Linked DNA regions of Styela clava. The protein of the gene in region 1 purifies or fractionates together with the protein of each later gene. This does not show direct contact. Links are inferred from orthologs where the notes say so. Each region holds a gene or a part of one and is shown in the gene's direction. Other genes may lie near its edges.

Region 1 (7,810 bases):
CTAAAATATTTGTTTTATGACTCTTATTCAAGAATTTTGACCCAAACAAGCATCTGCTCATACGTAATGATATGTGAAGTGGTACTATTTCTCGAAAGAACCAAATCTTTCCGTTTGAATCAAGAAATTCTACGAAGATATGAACGGATGATTGAGACTTTACATTCTATGTTTGAAAATTTGATATAAATTCACAAACTTTGCAATAGAATCAGATTTTGCCAATCTCCTATGCCAAGTCTTTTAAAAATAAGATTTCCACCCTTGGGACGACCTTGTTGTTGTCAGTTAAAAAAGCAAATAAAACAAATAATGCTTTCTGATTTCCGCCAGAAATATTAACTTTAAATAAAAAGGATGAAATTCCGGCTCCTGTCACAGATAATTCCAAAATACAACTTAGACAATTAAAACATGCCAAATTCCAACTGCACATCTCTGCGGATCAGTGGTTGCTTGTACAGAGCCTAGTTCAAAGTGAATGTGCTTCTATTCTATCTCTTCTCTTTCTATCTTGTTTTAATGAAGTTCTCTCTTTTACAGGCTGCAAGAGATGTCATCAAAAACTTCTGGCAAGAATCATTCTGTGGTAACTGATGGAGTTCTGAGTGACCCTGCTGATGATAATGTAAGTATATTGGTTAAGAGTGGCAACAGAACAGAATCTCAATCTTAGCACGTATAGATTATTTATGCCACTCCTTTCGCTCTGAGCCCTGTGGCAGTGGTTCTCAACCTGTGGCCCCTACGGGAACTTTTCAAGTGGTACGTGAGCAGCTTTGATTTATTGCAACAGTTAACTTCTAAGTCTAAATTATGCCAGCAACGTTTTCTCTTTATTTTTTATACTGTATGTATTCGCTAAACGGCATTTATAGTGCTACCGGTCTTTGTGTTTACAGATCCAAGTTTATTTGTCAGAGGTTCGCGATAATTCAGTAGTGGCAGTAGTTTTTATCTACTAAAAATTTTGAAATGATCGGTGGTTACGGGAAAAGCCCCAAATGTTTGTCGCAATGACAACAATTTAGCAAATGACCCTATGAATTCAGTTTTTGTCTAAAATGGGTGGGCAAGGTGTTTGGGCCAGGGGCCAAAATTATTTTGCCCACCTAGACTGGCAGGCCGTGTAAGTGTGACGTAAAAAATTTTACATTTTATGAACAATATTTACAGAGTTACAACAGCAAACGTGTAAAACGATAAGCCCCGTGCCAAAACAATTTAATAGCAATCTCAACAAATTCCTAAAGCATCGGGCAGGCCAAACTGAATTACTCAACAGGACAGATTTGACCCGTGGGCCGTAGTTTGCTCATATCAAGTCTAAAACCATTTTATTCATCTTTTTAGATACCCAGTCTTCAAATCAAGATTTCTGCAACATCTAACGGCACAAGTCAACCTAGCACAGTCGTTCCACCATCAGTTTCATCTTCAAAATCTAGCAACAGTGAAGCTGTGAAAGACTTCTTGGAAGAAGTAGGGTCACTGAGGTCACGAACTCCGACCCCTACACGACAATTCTTAAAATCAATTGGAATTGCTCCTTCTACAGTAACCGAAACGTCGCCGAATAATTCAATTTTTTCAACTCATATGGACGATAGTATTGATGAAAGAGAATTGAATGCGATACTTGGTCTACAGCAAGAAGATATTGGCAACAATAATAAAATGTCCAAAAATGACGGTTTACAGGTATTTTTTTCAAACAATCTTGCTTTGATAAACCTTATATTGGAAATAGATAGCTCATGAAAGATTTGATAGCAACCAATTGTTGTTCATAAGAAACAGAATTTTAGGAGCAGTGTTCCCTCTAAGGTGTGCGCGCGCACACAGCTTTCAGAGGCTGCGCACACGCATAGATTTACTGCGCACAGGCATATTTCGATGTAATGTAACAATGTGCTCGGTTGGCAGGTTGAGAAAGTTTGTTGTTGGCCCACTTATTACCCGGTTAGAACGCCAAAATTTCTTCATTGGTTTTTGCACAAATATTAGTCATTTCCAAAAAAGTGCGCACACTAAAATTTCTGCGCACACATACTACAAAAAATTAGAGGGAACATTGTTTAGGAGTATAGGATTTTTCAAATTTGATTTGGGGGAAAGGGAATCCTATGCGATGGTCAACCAAAGCCCCTCGTCCCATTAGGGCCATTACCAATCCGTGTCGGATAGATGTTTGTTTCAGATCTATGGACTTGACGGAGGAAGCTGTTACGGGCCTAACCGCACGAGACTTTCTCCTCGTAATATTTATAGTTAATAGTTTTAATCAGCTTTTACCTTAATTGCTCTTCTAGGATTTCCTGAAAGATGAAGAACTGCGATCCAAAGAATTGGAATCAAGAATTGATAAACACATTGAAAATATGAAAGAGGCGATGGCAGCCACAGTGAACAAATACCTAGCTCCGGTTTAAATTGAGAGAGAGAGAGAGAGAGATGTTGTTTCCACAAGCACTTTCAACATTGAAAAATAGTATAAAACAATATTGAAATTAGTAAATTCTCAAAATTTATCAGATTTTAGTGGCTGCTTGAGCTTGCTTGACCTTCAAAGGTCATCGGCGCTCCTGACAAATTCGTTTTCACAATATAAATATAAAAAATATTGAAAAATAAGAAAATGACTTCGCTGGCATACCTAATGTACAGGGTGTCCATAAAGTCTCATCACAATGTTGGTATAATGTCAGTTCTCAAAATATCTTAATTAACCAGGTTTGTTGTTTTTTAAATTAGTAGTTGTTTAGGTATTTTTACTTCATTTAATACATCTGTGAGGGCCAAAACAATATATGGTATCGATAAACTCCCTTTAGGATTTAAAAATTTTTTAGGAACTCATGGACACCCTATAATACATCCCTTCATGGGATTTTGCCTAAGATTGGGAATCATGCCAACACAACTAAGTGTTGGTAGCCCTTGGTATTACAGTAGGTTTCCAATATGGGAGGCTCAACTTTTAATGCGCACAAAAACTTTAAATGTTCTATAATACTGCAATACTTAATATCTCAATATATCACAGCGTGCATTTGGTAATGCTCACTTCAGGCATTGGTTTATCACCTCTTCTATCCATTCATTCATAAGAACGCTTTACGAAAAAATATTTTTCCATAATTTCTGTTAGTAATTTTTGGGAGGAAATGTGTGAAGAGACTGAGAGAGGTTCTGAAGTTACTTTTTGTCTATTTAAGCTGCTTCCATGTTTTTGAACTTGAAGATTTATTATGCTTTTGTTGCTATGATTTCAAAAACCTATTTACTGGCTTCTATATTTTTCTATTTTGAGATAAATATCTTTATTTATGGATGCCAGTTTTTGTTTTTCTGTTAGTCAGGTGAAGGTATTTAGATCCAGCTCAGAGGATAAAATTTCGGAGCTCCCGAAGTATGTGCACCAAGATGGCGCACAGCCTGAACATAGTATGTGTATTGGGTTAGAGTTCAGGTTGTGCGCCATCTTGGTGCACATACTTCGGGAGCGCCAAAATTTCAGCGAACGGATTTTAGTACTTGGTAGATTCTTATTATGGTTGCCAATAGTTAGTTAGGGGGAAGACCCATCTATACGGTTATTAACATGGTGCTCTTATAGCTTCCAAATTGTATGGATGATTTCCTGACCCGAAAACGGCAAATGTCTGTAATCTTGCATACCTGTCTGGGTGATCTGATAATTTGTTATGAGTGATTATTTCATGAATGTAGAAAGTAGGATATATTGAAAAGACTGGTGATTTATTCCGGATTATAAGCTCAGTGATTGGCGCATCGGGCCAAGAGAGAGATGAGAAGATATCATCGCGCCTTTAATTACCCGGCGTGTGTTTGAATCCTGTGAGGACCAATTATGCGTGAGAGGATAGTTGGACTCCTCATCATCATCATAGGGTGGTTAGTGAAAGTGTTGTTCCATTTTCTCATCATCATAGGGCGGTTAGAAAAAGAGTCGTTCCATGGTTGTTTGCGAGCGCGTTCTTAACACTCAGCACGATGCGCTAGGCGTCGTGTCGTATGGATTCCGATATTTATTTTCGTCATGTATGGGCCAGAGCATCTGTGATTTTATCAGTCTTGCATAGTGTCCGAAAAAACAATGATGAATCAATTAGAATTAATTTATTTCTTGATTTTAATGCAATGGTCCTTTCCCCGACCTTTAACCCCTGGAAAATTCTTCCCATACTTTACCATTACAAAATTATCGGGGCTATTTTAAGAGTGCTTTTGCAAGTTGGCGTCTGTAAAATGGGGTATATGTTTCAAACCATCATTGTGATTTATTGCATACAACAATCTGTTTTTTAAAGGTACCGGTAAAGAATTTCAGGCTAATCTATCACAGCTATATCTACACTAATTTTTCTTACAGCAATTAAATTAAAACTCCTAGAAAGACAGAGTGATCATTGAATTATCTGATTTATATTTAAGTTTCCAAAACACAACTAAAAACTAATGAATAAAGTTCAAAAAAGCGAAAACGATGTAATGTTCACAACCTCGCTTGAAAATCTGTCTGAGTGAAAAAAGTGTCTGAGTGGATGCGAAAAGAAGGCATTGTTACTTCACTTTTTGCATTTTACTGATTGGCCAATGTCACGAAGTAAACAAGGAAGTCGATGCTCGAGGAAAGGTGTCGACTTTGATTGTAGAAATGAAAACTCTACCGACACCTAACGGATGTTTTGATTACCGGCTTATTAGACTGGAACCACCTTACATAATTTGGAGAAAATCCCTCCGTAGTTTTGTAATTTTTTGCGGGTTTTCTTCGTTTTTTCTGAGCGTTATATAAAGAGTTATGTAACATAAGTCACGGAAGAGAGACATTGAATAATAAAATATATGAACGATTTTCAAGAGCACAGAAAGTGGAAATTTACTGAATACTTAGGCTACATATTGAAGCAACGGTTTCGATTTAAAAAACAGCTGTCTCTTCTCAATCTTGCAATACTGCAATATGGGATCTAGAGAAAAATTAATCAAAGAATTTGTGAGCATTACAGGTACGGTTGTATTTGGTATTCTTCTTTGGGCCGACTAGGCACATTTTTACATAACGTTATCGTATTTATTTTGATGGGAATAGCCGATAACACTGTAAGAAGAATGGAAGAAGACAGGCGAACATACTGCAGCACTAACTATGTGCTCTGATTTCAAGAATAGCCCCCACATTAAAATATATCAATTATGACAGTGAGTGCGAACCTCTACCTATTTAACGAGCCATTATATCAGTATATCGACTAAAAACGACAAGTCGGCATTGCGCAATAAACTGAAAGGAGGTGCAATCTAAAAACGTCGCCATCCTGCCATTGACAGAATGGATTTCTCGGAGAAAAAAAATAATAAAATTTACAGAAGGAATTAAAATTTTACAGTAGTAGTTTTCAACAAAAATCGCAATTTGGTCATGTGACGGCCAGCGCACTTTGCGATTGATTTAAATTATTACCGAGACAAGCTTGGTACGATTTGATGCCTGGTGGCGTTCTACTGCTTGGGTCAACTGGTGGATATGGGCCATGCTAACATGGTTAGCTTCACTGTCTGTACTAACTATTAGCGCTCAAAATTTTCTTTTTTTACAGGCACAGACAAAGGAACAGCGAAACATTTTCTCGATGCTTGCTCGGACAATCTTGAAACTGCAGTCGCCATGTTCTTGGATGATAAGACTCCAGGCACAACAGGTAAAATTTGTCGATTTCTATATTGTTTGATGCAGCACAAACACTTTCTTGTCTATGAGTTTAATATTTAGTAGCGTGGTTCCCAATCTTTTATGGCTCGTGACTCTCTTCTAGAGGCTTTCAGCACTCATGGCCCCCTTATTTATTATTCCAATGGTATTTTTAGCAATATTTTGATTGGTAGATTCCAAATCTACTTATGCTCAAACAATTCAACAAAGTGAGTACATCCTGTGAAATAACTTTATCAAGCAATGAAACTAGGAAGAACGGGTGGTTTTATTGTAAAGCAGGGGTCTCAAACTCGCGGCCCGTGGGCCAATTGCGGCCCGCAGGACGATAATTTGCGGCCCCCGCCTTGGTATGAAAGTTTGATGTTAGTGCGGCCCGTAAGTCACTCACCTCAGTTAGAATGATTGATGCATTTAATATATGATCAAGACAAGTAGAGCAAAACAAAATATTTTATAATCTATCCCCCGAAAGGAATATGCGGCACGGTAATCTACTAGTACACTAGGGTATTCGATGGACCTTTGACCCCAAAGAAGATTTTTCTTATACTTTACCATTGCTAATTCTTGGTGCTTATTTTAGAGGTGGCTTTGCGAGTTGAAGCCTATAAACTGGGGTATGTTTCACGTCATCATTTTGATTCAAAACATTCAACAACTTGTTTTTTAACAGTACCGGTAGAGAAGTTTAGCCTAGTCTATCACAGTTATTTCTAGACCTATTTTTGATTACGGCAATTAAGCTACGACGCCCAAGCAATCAGAATGATCATTGAGTTCTTTGATTCATACTTGAATTTCTGAAACACAAGCCAAAACTAACAAATAGCATGCAAAAACGAGGTAATGTTTCAAACATGCCTGAAAGTGTCTGAGCGTCTATTGTTTATTGTTACGTCGCTTTTGCGTCTTGCTGATTAGCCAATGTTACGGAATAAACAAGGAAGTAGATGCTTGGGGAAAGGTCCATCGCGGAATTACTTACATTTATGTTTTTGACATGTTTGCGTATAGAAAAACAGAGGAAAAGATTTAACTTTTTAAGTTTAATGCTTTTATTGTGAAAAAACTGATGCGGCCCCGGACTCACTGAGGCTCCGTCTCGGCGGCCCTCAAGTAAATTGAGTCTGAGACCCCTGTTGTAAAGTGAATGGTAAAATAAGTTATGAACCTAGCATTGTGGCCTCCTTCAACTGCTCTATGGCCCTCTTGAGGGCCCCGGGCCGCTGGTTGGAAATCCCTGAAGGAGTGTCATGTTGAGCATGACGGTATCGTACATATCGAGTGCCATACCCAAACGATGCCCATTCGGTCAGTGGCGTATCTACGTAAAATTGCGCCCATGGCAAAGTTGAAAAATGCGCCCCCTTGATAGTTGGTTAACGATTTATAATGACTGTTATTGAAATGCTATACCTGTGCGTTATTATTCAAGTATAAATGCGAGATTTAGTTGTCTCCAATTTGAAATAATTTATTGAAACCTATACGATCAGAACTTTTCGCTGTTTTTGCGCCCCTGTCTAAGCATCGCCTATGGCATAGGTTCTCAAAGTGCTCCGTACGGAGCCCCAGGGCTCCGAGAGAGAAGCCTAGGGGCTCCGCGAGCTATTTGATTACTTTTCAAAGGACTGACTTGGCTAATTTTGTGACTTTTCAAAGAAGCAATAACAGCTTTGATAAAATTTGACAACAGTATAGCCTCGAAATATGGCAAAGAGGCGGAATTCAAAAATGACAATATTTATAAGCACGTGCGCAGCCAGGATTCTTAAGAGGGAGGGGGGATCAAAGTTGGAATCGGAATTGTTCGCGCAACATTCTTCGCGCTTAAGAAAAAAACTTTTTCAGTGGATAACGAGATTTCTGTTGCGTGAAATATTCAATCCATGACTGATGCGAGCATTTAAAATGTCCTGTCATAATAATTTAATTGTGTTCATCGTTACTCATGTTTGATTCAAGATTACTATGAGGATTACTTAAATAAAAAATTACTATTCTAAAATAACATAAAATACGTGATAAACTATAAATGAATTGGAATCGTATTTTTGCAATCTTGGG
Region 2 (7,596 bases), on another chromosome or scaffold:
CTAATAAACTTATCTATGTTGTTGAAAAGGACAGGCTTTCTATTTATGATCCGATCACAAATGAGTGGGATGAAACATTACCTGGTTGTGAATTGGAAGAACCCTTTTTTGCAGGAGTATCAAACAAACAATTTATCGCAATCAACATTGTTAGCGAGTACAAACTTTTCAGTATATTGAATAACAGTTGGGGAAACGTGAAAAAAGTTTCCGAAGCTTCTGTGAATACTTCTGTGGCATATTCTAATGAAAAAATTTATGTTGTAGGCTTGGTAAATAATAATTCACCGTTCCTCAATAAAATGCAACGCTTCGATGGTGAAAAATGGAAAACACTTAATCTGCCAACAGCAATCAGTTCCAAAAGTTTCAGTTTCATTGCTGACAATAGACTCGTGTTGTTGGTTTCAGGAAAGTTGTATATCTATGATGATGTAGGGGATTCATGGGGAACTGTATTAAGTGACTTTCCTAATTATGTTAGTGGAGGCATTGGTCAGTTTGATGATATTTCATCTTGTTCAAATCCCATTTCTGTTTGTTCTTTCAAGGTGGATTCATCTTTTTTATATTCAATTTAAATTGATTAAGTTAACTTCTGATCCTATTTTTTAGCCAATGTTTAAATTTCTAGTTAACTAAATATGCTTATTATGTTAAAGACTGTTCTATTTAAAGATTATGCTGTGATTATTCATGTTCAAATTATTGAGCTAAATATGATGTCTGGGATTTGAAAAGAATATCGAAGATGCGAATGCATTTTTGACCCTATATGATTATAATTGATTATTTTTAGTGGAATGTTTTCAAGTGACCACTGGTGTAGTGAGAAATTAAAAGTTATTCAACACAGAATTTTTTTTATACCCAAAAGTTTTAGTAAATCTAAATGCTTTGCAAAAAAATTTTTTCTAGTATATGTTCCATAGGATCTGGGTTTCATTTTTCAGGGGTTATATTGAATTTCGTATGATTTTTTGATCAAGTTGATATAGGATAGGATTTACATATTTATTCCGGAGGAGAGGAAAGCCGATAAGACAGCTTAATTATATGGCAGCGAACCACGGCCTCTGGTCCGGTTACCAGTCCAGGTCTGGTATGGGATTAGTTAGCCAGTTATTTATTTTTGGAAGCATGGACTTGATGGTGGTGGAAGCCGTAACCGACCAGCGGTTAAGTGAACCACCCTACGGCGGAGAGGAGTCCAGCAATCCTCTCGCACATGATCATCCCCACATGAGATTTGAACCTGCGAACCCATGAAGGGTAATCAGAGATGAGGTGGCGAGCGTATTCCTAACGCTTAGCACGATGCGCCACACCGCCGAGCCTATAGCAAATCATCAGCAACACCTTTCCCCTTTTTAATTTGTTTTCACATGGCGATATAACCATGGGACCATTGCGTATAGATTTCTGTTTCTTAGATATTTTGTTTCATATCTTATTTCAGTTATATTAAATGGACAATTTTTATGTCTTGTTGAACCGCTTTATCCATTTTCTTGTTTTCCCAGTGCAAATATGAAAAGTTCAGTGAAAACTGTTTTTTCCAATTATGCAATTGTTTTTATATCGAAATCCATTTAGACTTTTCAAATTTCAATTCTAAATCAATCCAACAATAAAAATTTATTTTGCTCGTTTATATTTTCATGTCCATGAATCTGGAATGACTATCTGATCAGCTATTTCCCTCATGAGATTCTATATCTGCCTTATAATTATGTTCGTTATTGACTTTTTTCTCCTGAGATAAATAATAAAAATCTTATATGTTTTTAATGATTCTGCAATTTTTTTATATCAAACTTCATATATCGTGATAATAAAACTGTGTGAACTTTCTGAATTTCCAGTTCTTGAAATCATTGTATTTTTCCTACCTACAATTCCTTCATTTCAATCCCTGATTTTTTCCTCCATGATATATATTCAACCAAGGAAACTTGGATAATATTGGAAAAGTGGATCTTGGTTAACTTTCTCACAATGGGAACACTCTTTTTTTCTGTGTGGAAAATGTTCTTGGTCACAAATGAGACTTACAATTATTCATAAAATGCAGCTGGATTAAATTACCGACATTCAAGTTTATGCCCATGTTTACATGCTTGTGTAAGCGTGGTTAGAATTGCTAGTAACAGGAACACTCATATTTTCTGGGATGGGAAGTGTTTGTGGTTTTATAGGAGTAGTCACAAATTGCAGATGGATTAAAATCTCGGCATTCAAATTTCTGACCATGTCTTCATGTTTGTGTGAGCATGGTTAGAATTGCTCGCAAGGTGAACACTCTTATTTTCCAGGTGGGAAGTGTATGTGGTTTTTAACAAGACTCATAAGTACCTTTAAAAAATTCAGCTTGATTAAATTTTTGACATTTGAATTTTTCCTATGTTTCCATGTTTGTGTGAGTGAGGTTAGAATTGCTTGTAATGGGAACACTCTTATTTTCTAGGTGGGAAGTGTTTGTGGTAATATTGCTCTTTTTTGAATGATGACTGTACATATATTACATCTTGATTTCTGGATACTGCTATTATGGTTGATTTAACTTCATGGATTAGAATTCATTTGTATAGCCTAGTTAGTAAGAGAATCTCCTGTTATGTTTTATCGGGACTGCCTGGCTCTGTATGGGATTAGTCACCCAGTTATTTGTTTCAGATGCATGGACTTGATGGCGAAGAAAGCCGTAACCGACCAGCAGTTTTGTGAATTACTGTACAGCATTGAAAAGTCTAGCAATCCTTTCGCTGTTATGTCGATACTCTCTACTCCAGTCCCATAGCCTTGTGAGATGTCCTTCTACCACTGGTGCTTTTTTGGCGCGGCGGTGAGGCTCAACGGGCTAAGCGTTAGGAATACGCTCGCCACCGCATCTCTAATTATTTCGCGTGGGTTTGCAGGGACGGTTATGTGCCTCCTCGCCGTCAATGGGTGGTTCACGTAACCGCTAGTCGGTTACAGCTTCCTCCACCACCAAGTCCATACTTCCGAAAACAAACAATATAACTAATCCCATACCCGACTTGGAATGGTAACCGGACGAGAGGCCGTGGTTCGCCATATGGATAAGCCGTCTTATCGGCTTTCCTCTCCCCCAGGATAAATATGTAAATCCTATCCTATTTTTTTTTTGATGATTTCTTATATTTTGCACAATTGTTTTATTTTTAAGAAAAATATAATTAACTGTTTGTTCATTAGGCTATCGGTAACCAATGATTTGCCCATTGTAGGAAAAGAAAATTTATGGTGGATGTTGAATACCAATATATTATATACATAGCCTATAAAGATTCACACAATGCCACTTACTGACTATCCTTTTGTGTATGCAAGTAGTAGAGTAGTCTACTGCCTTAAAAATATTTGTGTAGCATGACTGGCAATGAAACGCTTTCGTTAGTATTAAAATATCCCAATCACTTAATTAAGTGAGCCGACCTTGCTTTGGTATGATTCAGTTTGTGAAGCATGACTGGCAGCAACGAAACCCTCTTATTAGTATGAGAAAATTCTGGCTAGACTTATATTTAAAATATTTCTCTTCTCTGTGATGTTTTTACATAAACTCTGCTTTGATATGATTTAATTTATGAAGCATGACTGGCAGCAATGAAACCTTTTATTTCGAATAAGAATATTCTGTCCAAACTTCTCACTCTGTAATAGGCCTAAATTATACCAAAGAAGACTCGTTTTCCATTTTTTTTTTATCAATTCTGTTTAGTATTTGCGCTTCACCTGAGAGGCATACGCATAATATACTATGACAGTGGTTTTCAAACATTTTCCTGCTACACCCTACAGTTCCACCAATACAGACAGTCTGGCGGTTCCGCAAGTTTCTACTAAAATCAGAAAGTTTATGCAAATTATTCCTTATCGATCTTGATCAGTAGTATGTTGATAGGTATTTGTCTGTTTGTTTGTCTGTCAGACACTTTCGTATGTTACGTGATATCTCACGAAAGCGAGGTTGAATCTGCTCCAAATTTTGCATGTGCATTCATCATATCTCGAACCAGAAGCCTATTGATTTAGGATGAATTATATCGTATAATTAGCGAGTTATTGATTAGTGATGGGACACGCGGTGTCACTATTGAGTCATAGTGAAGGTATCGAAACCGCAGTTTCTGTTTTGGGGGATCCCCTAACTTTCGATCAATAAGTGGTGGGTCTCCGACCGATATTCTCGTTTGAATATTGGCCACTATTTTGAAAATATGCTACCCTTTCAAGATTATGCTTTGCCAGTACCAAGTTTACAAAAGCAAATTTATAGTCTATACAGTTCTGACAATAAAAGACAATTTACCGTAGCTATTGCACAGGGATTTTTCAAGCCTCTGGAAGTTCGCCAGTTTCTGCAAAAAGGTTCAAAATCACTGATCTATGGAAACATTCTATTTGTTGATATTGCTTATGCAAACCTCGTAGGCCCTTACCACTTGTAATTACGCTTTATATGCAATTTTCTAACCATGCAGCTAATTTACAGATATAGTATTAAAATAATTAAACCATAATGATAATTAGAATCCAGTCAAAGGATGGTACAAAACGGGTTGAGGTAACATCTTCGGAGACGGTTACATCATTTCTTGGGAAGGTCGCGGAGGAATTTGCTCTTGCAAATGAAAATTGGTGTTTGTTTCAAAATCGTGACCGAACAAATGAACTTAAAAAGGGGTCACGGTCAAAATTGAGTAACAAAAAACTGAAACATGGAGATATGTGTTATCTTATCTTCACTGACGGAATGAACGTAGCTGGAGATGGAGGCGTGGTTGAAAACGAAGCCCCGCCCATAGTGAAATTTACAGAGGACGAAATTGACGTAGAATTATGGAAACAAGATGGTAGGATTCCGCAAAATGAAAAGAGTTCTGTCAGAGGTGGAATGTTTAAGATTGATGATCTACCGATAAACTCATGGGATGAGTCATATCTTAAATCAAAGGATATTAAGTTTTTATCGTTTCATGCGTACATGCGCCAACAGACTTCTGGTGTGGACAAAGGGAAATACTTTAAACTGGAAAGTACCAGAACTGCTTGCAAACTAGAAGGGATTAGCGAAGAAAAAAGGTTTGAGATTTTTTGATTTATATCTCTGATTAAGGTTGTTACTTCCAATTAGTATGCGTATCAAATCTGTGACGAGAGAAATCTAAAATGAATATTCTAAACGATTTTAAGTTAAATACGTTTCGTGTAACAAATTTTGAAGTTTTAAAATAGTTTATAGATACTGCCATTTGTAGAATTGTCAATTTGGAAAAAGTTTATTTTCGAAATTGATACTGACATAGAAATTGCTTAAAATTTATTTGGAGAGAATATTTGAATTAATTTGTCTGTATCATATCGAGAATACATCGCAGACAAATTGCTCTGAAAAGTATTGAATGAACAGCTAAATACAACTACTGACAAAATTAAAGCAATGTACAAGTTTGTTTATTCTAGCGGAAAAAATTTATGTAAACAACGGCTGCCTCTTGAAACAATAATTTCATTTAGATTTATTCTAGAGCAGTAGTTCTCAACAATTTTCAATCATGGCCCGTTTTTGTTTAACAATAATCCTGTGGCCCAAAAACTTCTTTATGCAAAGGAAAAACTACAAGAAATACTAAATCTTCCCACAAGAATGGACACTTTCACATTAATAATTAGAATGAAAATTACCACTCAGTAGCAGAAAACAGCATTGTCATTCATTGCTGCTACAATCAAAATTAACTATAGGGACACAAATAAATTACTACTAATTTTTAATAGGTCTTTGGTCCAACAGTGGGCCATGCATGTTCCATTGGTTGAGAACCTGTGTTTCAGACTAATCTCAATTTTGAATTCATTCTTTAGATCTCTCCTCGACCTTCCAACGGCAATCACTCTGAATCAACAAAAATTTCGTCATGTTGATAATATTATGTTTGAAAATCGAGAAGTCGCTGATAGATTCCTGAATTATTGGAGGAATAGTGGAAACCAGAGAATGGGATTCATGTATGGAAGATATACTCAACATAAGGTATAAGATGAAGAAATATATACTCGTTACCGTATATATATAATTCGCATATTATAAGCTGATCTTGCATATCAGCCAACTCCCTTAAAACGAACCTAAAACGTTGAATTCATAAAAATTTGCATATAAGCAAATCCTACAAATTGTAACTCACTGTACTCACCTGTCACATCAAATGGTTGCAGAAGAGCATTAATGAAAATAATCACCATTATTGTTGTTTAACTTTTATTAATAACAGCAAGAAGTGTCTCAAAATCCCTAAAAATTTATCCCCACTATCACCTTCTCCATCTTTCCAATCCCAGAGTTGTAAGAGCGTATCAGCTGACACATTAATTTGACAACATTTTTGTCAAGTTTTGAACTCGGCTCATATGCGAGGATAAACGATATACAAAAGTGTTTATACAAGTTCCAAACTGAATTGGTTTTTCTAATTAAGGGGAAAATAAAATCCAAGATGAAAGAATCAAAACTGCTCTGGAAAGTTTGATTTCCACGATATATTTTGGCGACCTCTCTTACTCGAACAAGAGCAAAATCTTGTCATGTCACAAAGGCACTGACAGAATGGCAAAACTAGATGTTGCCCTTTTATAGCCTGATGGGAATACTTGATATAATGCAAATAAGAAAGATTGAAAAATTTAAAAAAAACATTTTTTTTTCAAGTCTCGTCTTTGAATAATAATTTTGCTTTGCAATATACTATGCATTGTTGAGAGTGCTTTTGACAGTGATATACATATTATTCAGGAAGTGTGAAAGAGCTTTTGCAAGTTTTGCTTCTTCGGGTTATTCAGATCATGATTATTCTTTACAATACAATTTGAGGCTTTCAGGACAGAGGGTGAATTTGGGAACTTTTAAAAAAATTATAAAAATTGGTTTATAAAGTGGTTTTCTAGTCAAAGTTTAAGTGTTGTTCACGACAAAGTATTTTTATTAAAAGTTGGAAGAGTTTATTAAAAATTAAAATTCCCCATTTTCCCAGAACAGCTTTTTTTTTCAAGTTTTGTTTTTTCTGAACTATTCTTATTATTTTAGGAAGTACCACTCGGCATTCGTGCAGAGGTTTGTGCAATATATGAGCCACCACAGGAAAGCTCGGCTAACTCGCTGAAGATCCTGCCCGACCCTCATCAAGAGATTGTGGAGAAAGTAGCGAAAGCACTTGGGCTTCAGAAAGTTGGTTGGATCATTTCAGACTTGGTTGCTGAGGATAGATCTAAAGGTATTGTTGCCTTCTGTTATGTTTGTTCACTCGGTAATGACAACATCGTGCTATGCGTTTAATGCGCTTACTATCGAACCTTAATTTATGGAGCATGACTGACAGCGTTGAAGCCATTTTGTTGATATGGGGTTATTCTGGCCAGACTTGTACATATTTTACTGATATTTTATACTTCGCTATGATTTTGTTTATGAAGCACGACTGACAGCAACGAAGCCCATTTATTGGTATGAGATGATCTTCGCACGCTCGAATCTAATGGGGGGTAATTATTTGCGAGGGGGGTTCTAATCAC
Region 3 (7,829 bases), on another chromosome or scaffold:
AGACTTGATAGTGTGGAAAGCCTTCTCACAATGCAGTAATAATGGGACATATATTTATAATATCATTATACAGGCTTTAAGTTGAACTATAAGTTTAATTAAAATATCTATCTTTGCTAATAAATGCTGAAAACCATTTATTTCAATCTGCTGAGTGATTAGGGCCCGAAATTTGCTGTAGGGACCATCGCCAGTGCTGGATTTACCAATAGGCTAGGCAGGCTGAAACCTAGAGCCTCGAAATTCGGTTTCAAACTTTGTAATTCTTTTGAAAACTTGACAAGTTTAAACCCTACAAAAAGTATATATATATATCAAGCTTTTCAGAGTAGAAAATTCTGTGTACAACAAGTTTCAACCACATTGTAAACAGCCATTATTGCGTCGTTTGCATCATAATAAGGGAAATTATTATTATGCGCATTCTGCTGGAAGTTTCTATGTTAAAGTATGACAAAAAATTGAAAGCAAAACTGCCTCAAGTAAATTATCATTCTTTTAATCAAAAATTCACACCCATGAATGGGGAGAATGAAAAGTTTAATGCTTTCATATTTTTAAATTTTAAGCAATTAAATGTGGTTTTGTTTAGAGAGAAATTCTGAGCTCAAAAATATGAAGGGGCCTCTCATGGTCTAAATCCAGCCCTGAACATCACCAATTTTGGGATAGGTACCATACATGGTAGGTACCGTCAACATATGAACTGAGTTAGGCCATTGGATTTTGAAAGGTGTACCAGAAATGTACATGGAATTCATGAAATATATAACATCCAATTAAAACCAAAATAGGTCTTTCGTTGAACGCCAGTTGTGGTCCCGGTACCGGTATTCCAGTATCTGTTATCACATGCAGTTGGAGCACATATCCCACAGAGCACGGCGCGTTGGCAGAATCTCATGGTCTAGTGAGAATGACGTCTTCGGAAAAACCGCGCTCATTAAAATTTCAATGAGCGATTATTAAAAATCTTGACCATGTTTATCATAATAAGAATATCAAAAAAGACGTAAAAAATATTCTATCCTCAAAACTGCTCACGTATACAATGAAAGATATCTAGAAAAATACATAAAATGCAAATTTCTGCTCTGGTGAATACATTCCCCATGAGAGCTAATGTTAAAAAATATTTTTTTACATCACTTTTTTTTTTGCGCGTAGGATGGGTTTTTATTGAATAAGGTCTATTGCGGCTACATGGATGCAAAAAATGAGGCGATTCGCCCTTTTAGAAACTAACGACAGACCTGAAACATATTAAAATAAAAATGATTAAAACAACACATTTTATCTCGGTAAAATGATTTATTGCTCAGAAGCTCATTTCTCTACAAAATCTAAAATTTAACTGAGTTGAAGCGAAATTTATGCAAGAAATAATTTTTTCTCATCTAATTCATCAATACAGTGTATTTGATGGAGATATATAAAACACATATTGAATTTAAAAAAAATTCCACCATGCGGAAAGTTGGGAAATACCCCCCAATTTAAGGAAAATTTTTAAGAAATCGTCTATTCAACTCAGTTAAAACGTAATTTATGCAGGAATAAATATATTTTCTCATCCAATTCATTAATACAGTGTGTTTGGTGGACAAATATAAAATACATATTGAAATTTAAAAAAAATCCACCGTGCGGAAAGTAGGGAAATTCCCCCCAATTAAAGAAAAAATATAAGAAATCGTCAATTTAACTCAGTTAAAGCGTAATTTAGGTAAGAAGGAATTTTTTCTCATTCAATTCATTAATGCAGTGTGTTTGGTGGACAAATATAAAATACATATCAAAATTTAAAAAAAATCCACCGTGCGGAAAGTAGGGAAATTCCCCCCAATTGAAGAAAAAAATATAAGAAATCGTCAATTTAACTCAGTTAAAGCGTAATTTAGATAAGAAGGAATTTTTTCTGATCCAATTCATTGATACAGTATATTTGGTGAAAATATATAAAACACATAGTAAATTTAAAAAAAAATCCACCGTGCGGAAAGTAAGGGAAATTCCCCCCAATTTGATGAAAATATTTAAGAAATCGTCTATTTAACTTAGTTAAAGCGTAATTTATGCAGGAAAGAATATTTCTCATCCAATTCATTGATACACTGTATGTGGTGGACAAATATAAAATACATATCAAAATTTTAAAAAAATCCACCGTGCGGAAAGTAGGGAAATTCCCCCCAATTAAAGAAAAAAATATAAGAAATCGTCAATTTAACTCAGGTAAAGCGTAATTTAGGTAAGATGGAATTTTTTCTCATCCAATTCATCAACACAGTTATTTTTGATGGAGACATATAAAACACATATTGAATTTTAAAAAAATTCCACTATGCGGAAAGTTGGGAAATACCCCACAATTTAACGAAAATTTTTAAGAAATCGGCAATTCAACTCAGTTAAAACGTAATTTATGCAGGAAAGAATATTTTCTCATCCAATTCATTAATGCAGTGTGTTTGGTGGGGATATATAAAACACATATTAAATTTAAAAAAAATTCCACCATGCGGAAAGTTGGGAAATCCCCCCCAATTTGTTGAAAATATTTAAGAAATCGTCAATTTAACTCAGTTAAAACGTAATTTATGCAGGAAAGAATATTTTCTCATTCAATTCATTGATACAGTGTATGTGGTGGACAAATATAAAATACATATTAAAATTAAAAAAAAATTCCACCGTGCGGAAAGTAGAGAAATTCCCCCCAATTTAAGGAAAAAATATACGAAATCGTCAATTTAACTCAGTTAAAGTGTAAGTTAGGTAAGAAAAAATATTTACTTATCCAATTCATTAATAATATGTATATCCCTTAATTTGTTTTGGTTCGCCGTATGATTAAGCTGCCTTATCGGCTTTCCGTTCCCGAGATAAATCTCCATGTTACCTAATCTGTCATCAACATTATTCAAGTATTTGCAGGCTATAGATCAGAGAACGTCGGTGTTTGCCACGCGCGTGTTGGGCAGCATGATTGTACAATCAAAACTGAGGGGGGCGCTGTTTATATATCATCACATGATCATGTTTTTCTATTCGAGTTCTCTTAACCTAGCCTTACAGAGCGAATTCGTACTTCTTAAGTATATTCTGCAAGAAGATGTCTTCAATTCTTCAATTGAAATATCAAACGAAATGGTATTGATATTATTATTACAGATATTTTCAAATCTTTGTTGAATTTCCATTTAACTTTCAGATGGACTAAACTTTATTATTATTGAACTTCTATCATCTCGATTTTTTCTAGATCTTATTGTCACCAAAAATCATATATCAGACTGAATAATTGTGAAACATCTCGATTATTTTGATATTATAGGCGGAAGTACCATTTATACATTATGACGCCCTGGGTGTCTTAAATTAAATGAAAAAAAAGATAAGAGGAGGAGTACATTACCTTGGGATGACAAAAATAAGCAAAGGTTACATTCATATAAACCTAAACCACTATGTTTGTTATTACCGGAGCATCACATCACTGGTGACATGGGATTACCGGTACTTAAATTTCATATTAGGAACCGAAGACTTTAATTTGGAATTTCGCCGACATTGGAGATGAGGAAGACGAAGGTCAATTCATGATGGATTTTAATATGTAATTTATATTTGTCCATCGAACACACTGCATTAATGGATTGGATGAGGAAAAATTTCTTCTTACCTAGATTACGCTTTAACTGAGTCAAATTGACGATTTCTCATATTTTTTTCTTCAATTGGGGGGAATTTCCCTATTTTCCGCATGGTGGATTTTTTCAAATTTTAATATGTTTTGTATATTTGTTCACCAAACCCACTGCATTAATGAATTGGATGAGAAAAAATTCCTTCTTACCTAAATTACGCTTTAACTGAGTAAAATTGACGATTTCTTATATTTTTTCTTCAATTGGGGGGAATTTCCCTACTTTCCGCACGGTGGATTTTTTTTAAACTTTGATATGTATTTTATATTTGTCCACCGAACACACTGCATTAATGAATTGAATGAGAAAAAATTCCTTTTACCTAAATTACGCTTTAACTGAGTCTAATTGACGATTTTTTATATTTTTTTCTTTAATTGGGGGGAATTTCCCTACTTTCCGCACGGTGGATTTTTTTAAAATTTTAATTTGTATTGTATATTTGTCCACCAAACACACTGCATTAATGAATTGGATGAAAAAAAATTCCTTCTTACCTAAATTACGCTTTAACTGAGTTAAATTGACAATTTCTTATATTTTTTTCTTCAATTGGGGGGAATTTCCCTACTTTCCGCAGGGTGGATTTTTCTAAAATTTTAATATGTATTTTATATTTGTCCACCAAACACACTGCATTAATGAATTGGATGAGAAAAAATTCATTCTAACCTAAATTACGCTTTAACTGAGTCAAATTGACGATTTCTTATATTTTTTTCTTCGATTGGGGGGAATTTCCCTACTTTCCAAACGGTGGATTTTTTTTTAATTTTAATATGTTTTGTATATTAATATATTTGTTCACCAAACACACTGCATTAATGAATTGAATGAAAAAAAATAATTTCTTGCATAAATTACGCTTCAACTCAGTTAAATTTTAGATTTTGTCGATAAATGAGCTTCTGAGCAATAATTCATTTCACCGAAAAAAAATGTTTCAGTTCTGTCGTTAGTTTCTAAAAGGGCGAATCGCCTCATTTTTTGCATCCATGTAGCCGCAATTAAGTGAATTTGCGACAACTGTCCACTTTATTTGCGATCAATTCGTGGAACATGGCGGGTTCAAATTCGGAAAAATAGGTAACTGTCCGCTAGCTTTACCTAGGTGGCTGTAGGGCCAAGTATCTAATATACTGATATATGCATGACATGCATGTTTGTACATCTACTTGTATATGATCTGACAATTCACAGATTCAGCAATGATTCAAAGATACTGATGATATGCACCCTTTTTGGACATATTCGATTGAGGGTGGACCTCAACGAGTTAACCACTCGGCAGTAATTATCAATAAAGATATATATATGTTTGGTGGATTTTGTTCTGGAGAAGATTACAATACTGATGATGATGATACTGACTGGACTGCCATCGATATTTATGCCTTTAATACGGGTGAGTCTACCTGTGTCTGTTTAGCATAAATTTACTAAATGTTAATACAGTAATAATCAGGTAATGCTGTACCAGTGGTATTTTATTTCATTTACTGATTTAATGATGACAATTTTAGTATCTACAAGTATGGTATTTGTTGGGTGTTTTTATCTGAGCAATATACACTGGACAGGCAGCTCACCATCCTTAAATTATTGGGATGACCATGCTGCCTAGGTCTGTAGGTTGTAAATGTTGAATAATAACAGAATATTTCACACCTATAACGTAATTTTAGTGCATGCTAGGTATCGTTTGCTTCACTGTGTTGATAAAAATGCTCCATTTGTTATTGTGTTAACAAAAATGCCCGAACACCATATATTACCTATCATGAGTGGCTTATAACCCGATGCAGAAATATACAGATATATAGACAACTTACTGACTTAAATGCCTGTTAATAAAGCCTCTAATAACTGTTAACTCTAACAACTTGAGAATTCAGGCAATTGTAGCCACAAAATAATATGCATATCAAAGGCTCTTGGCCTCATGTTTCGATGTATATTTGGGGTCTTACTACTTACTGAATACAGCCCGAAACACTGCAAAGAGCGCGAAACAGCGCAAAACAGAGGGAAACAGCGCAAAACAGGGGACGCAGTCATTACCACCTCCTGCCACGAAAGAACCACGGCGCCTCTCGCCATGGTTTTATGGCGCTATTTCCGGTATATTTACAAGGCTATGAACCGGATTATAGGTCATCATGCGAAATTTTATCTACCTTTTTGGTGCTCCAGAAGTATGTGCAGCAATATGTCGCACAACCTGAATCCGCTACACACACACACACACATACTATTTTCAGGTTGTGCGCCACCTTGGTGCACATACTTCTGGAGGTCCCTTTTTACCTAACCCTAACCCTAAAGCCAACCATATCCATATGGAAAATGTTCTAAATTATGGTACCCAAAATGTGTCACCAGCAGGGGCAGACCTGCCATTACAGCATTACTGGCTACATAAGTTGGTTTGTGTTTTTAATTTGCTGCCGTGGTACTCCAACTCAAAACAAGGTGCTCCGAACTCATTGCAAAAAAATTGTCCGCTTCACACTGTTTCCCTCTGTTTTGCGCTCTTTCGCGCTGTTTCCCCACTGTTTTGCGCTGTTTCCCTCTGTTTTGCGCTCTTTGCGGTGTTTCGCGCTGTATTCAGTAAGTAGTAAGACCGGTATATTTGTAATAAAATTTCAACATTAGTCATAGTTTTTTAGACTGCAGGTCACCACTCTCTCATGTATGCAAATATATTTATGACATTTATTTTTAGAATTCTTAAGATGGAGAAGAATACAGCAAAGGAACGAATATTTTGAAAATGTTCCATACATGAGGTACTTTTATCGGCATTTCTTTATTTCGGGACGAATTTAATCATATGATATCTATGATTTTAGAATTATGATAATACTTTTGCCTGAGAGTTGGTGGAATTTCAGAAAATTAACTTGAAGGATCCATCAATTTTTGTGGTTTTATCTAAAACACTGTTTCCCAAACTTTTTCTGCCACCTTGGATGACTTTTTAACTAGCAAACGCCCCCCTAACAAAAAAGTCAAAGCAACTTTATCTCTCTTGATATGTAAAAGTGCAGTCGTTGCCCTAAATACTCGCTCTTTTCGCTTCAGGAAATTTTAGGGTTATCTAGAAAACGGAAATCAAAAATTTCTTTACTATCTCCAAAAAAATTATTCAATCTTATTTGTGCCTGAACTTCTGTTTGCGTATGATTATACTCAATAGTATATACTCAATGCAAAATTTCCAACCAAACGGTGAATACAGAACATTACGTGTTTGTGCCGAAAAAAATCTGGACATTACTTAATAGATTGATAAAGGTGACCAGCAGTGGTTCAAGCATGACGAGGCGACACCCCATACATCAAATCAGACGCTTGCTATCCTGAGAGAGAAGTTAGCGGGGACATCCAGTAAGGCACCTTAATTATCGGACTGAAACCTCTCAGATTTTGATATGTAGGGAGTTCGAAGGACAATTTGTATCAGAACAATCCTCAAACGATTGGTAAACTCAAGGCTGCGATTGCAGAAATAAAATGGAGAAATACTCAAAGAAGAGTGAAACAGAAGTTCAAGTTTAGACAAAATTGAATAATTCACTCCATTTTCGTATAAGTAATCGAGTAATTGATGGTCTTGTTTTTTGGGAACCACGCTATATAATACTGTTTTTAATATAAACCGGTTAAATATGCTGCCCAAGTCACTGTGTTCGATATTTTGAACTTGCGCAACACAAATGATAAACCGACTTTAAACAATGTCAGACACAACATGATATAACAACAGGCTAGGTCTTTGCCTTTTGCCAATTTGTGTATTACTTATGTTATGTAGCCTTATTATTCAATGACCCAAGAAATGAAAATGAACCAGTTGAGTCGCAACATGGAGGTGGTCCTATCTGGCGTGCGGCAGTTCAATCAGATGCCCAGCTGTCACATTTTGTTCTTAACAAAACCAAAATTATAACATAAGGGTGTTGTACTTACACTACACTACACCGCTAGTAAAATGAAGCTGTTATTCCAAACAGTAAAACGAAACGTGCAGTGCATGGTGGAGGAAGCGTATGCTGTATGCGCTATGTATTATTGATTTATTGTGAAACAATACAGATTTAAAAAAGTCCTATTACC

Evidence for each region.
Region 2: the proteins of UBX domain-containing protein 7-like (region 1) and nuclear protein localization protein 4 homolog purify together in Homo sapiens (affinity purification with mass spectrometry; 3 studies listed by BioGRID and IntAct, with this or other methods). This does not show direct contact. The link is inferred for Styela clava from reciprocal best matches to the Homo sapiens genes UBXN7 and NPLOC4.
Region 3: the proteins of UBX domain-containing protein 7-like (region 1) and kelch domain-containing protein 3-like purify together in Homo sapiens (affinity purification with mass spectrometry; 3 studies listed by BioGRID and IntAct, with this or other methods). This does not show direct contact. The link is inferred for Styela clava from reciprocal best matches to the Homo sapiens genes UBXN7 and KLHDC3.

The regions. Positions count from the first base shown.
Region 1 is NC_135258.1:3,868,973-3,876,782, forward strand, and holds the start of UBX domain-containing protein 7-like, read left to right. Parts: upstream 1-4,723; 5' UTR 4,724-4,990; coding exon 4,991-5,036; intron 5,037-5,627; coding exon 5,628-5,729; intron 5,730-7,810. Other genes in the region: centrosomal protein of 63 kDa-like, read left to right, coding at 544-628, 1,354-1,701, 2,313-2,432. UniProt on the Homo sapiens protein: Ubiquitin-binding adapter that links a subset of NEDD8-associated cullin ring ligases (CRLs) to the segregase VCP/p97, to regulate turnover of their ubiquitination substrates.
Region 2 is NC_135262.1:3,005,561-3,013,156, forward strand, and holds the start of nuclear protein localization protein 4 homolog, read left to right. Parts: upstream 1-4,495; 5' UTR 4,496-4,546; coding exon 4,547-5,109; intron 5,110-5,892; coding exon 5,893-6,061; intron 6,062-7,111; coding exon 7,112-7,298; intron 7,299-7,596. UniProt on the Homo sapiens protein: The ternary complex containing UFD1, VCP and NPLOC4 binds ubiquitinated proteins and is necessary for the export of misfolded proteins from the ER to the cytoplasm, where they are degraded by the proteasome.
Region 3 is NC_135255.1:9,937,184-9,945,012, reverse strand, and holds the start of kelch domain-containing protein 3-like, read left to right. Parts: upstream 1-4,807; 5' UTR 4,808-4,940; coding exon 4,941-5,115; intron 5,116-6,435; coding exon 6,436-6,499; intron 6,500-7,829. UniProt on the Homo sapiens protein: Substrate-recognition component of a Cul2-RING (CRL2) E3 ubiquitin-protein ligase complex of the DesCEND (destruction via C-end degrons) pathway, which recognizes a C-degron located at the extreme C terminus of target proteins, leading to their ubiquitination and degradation.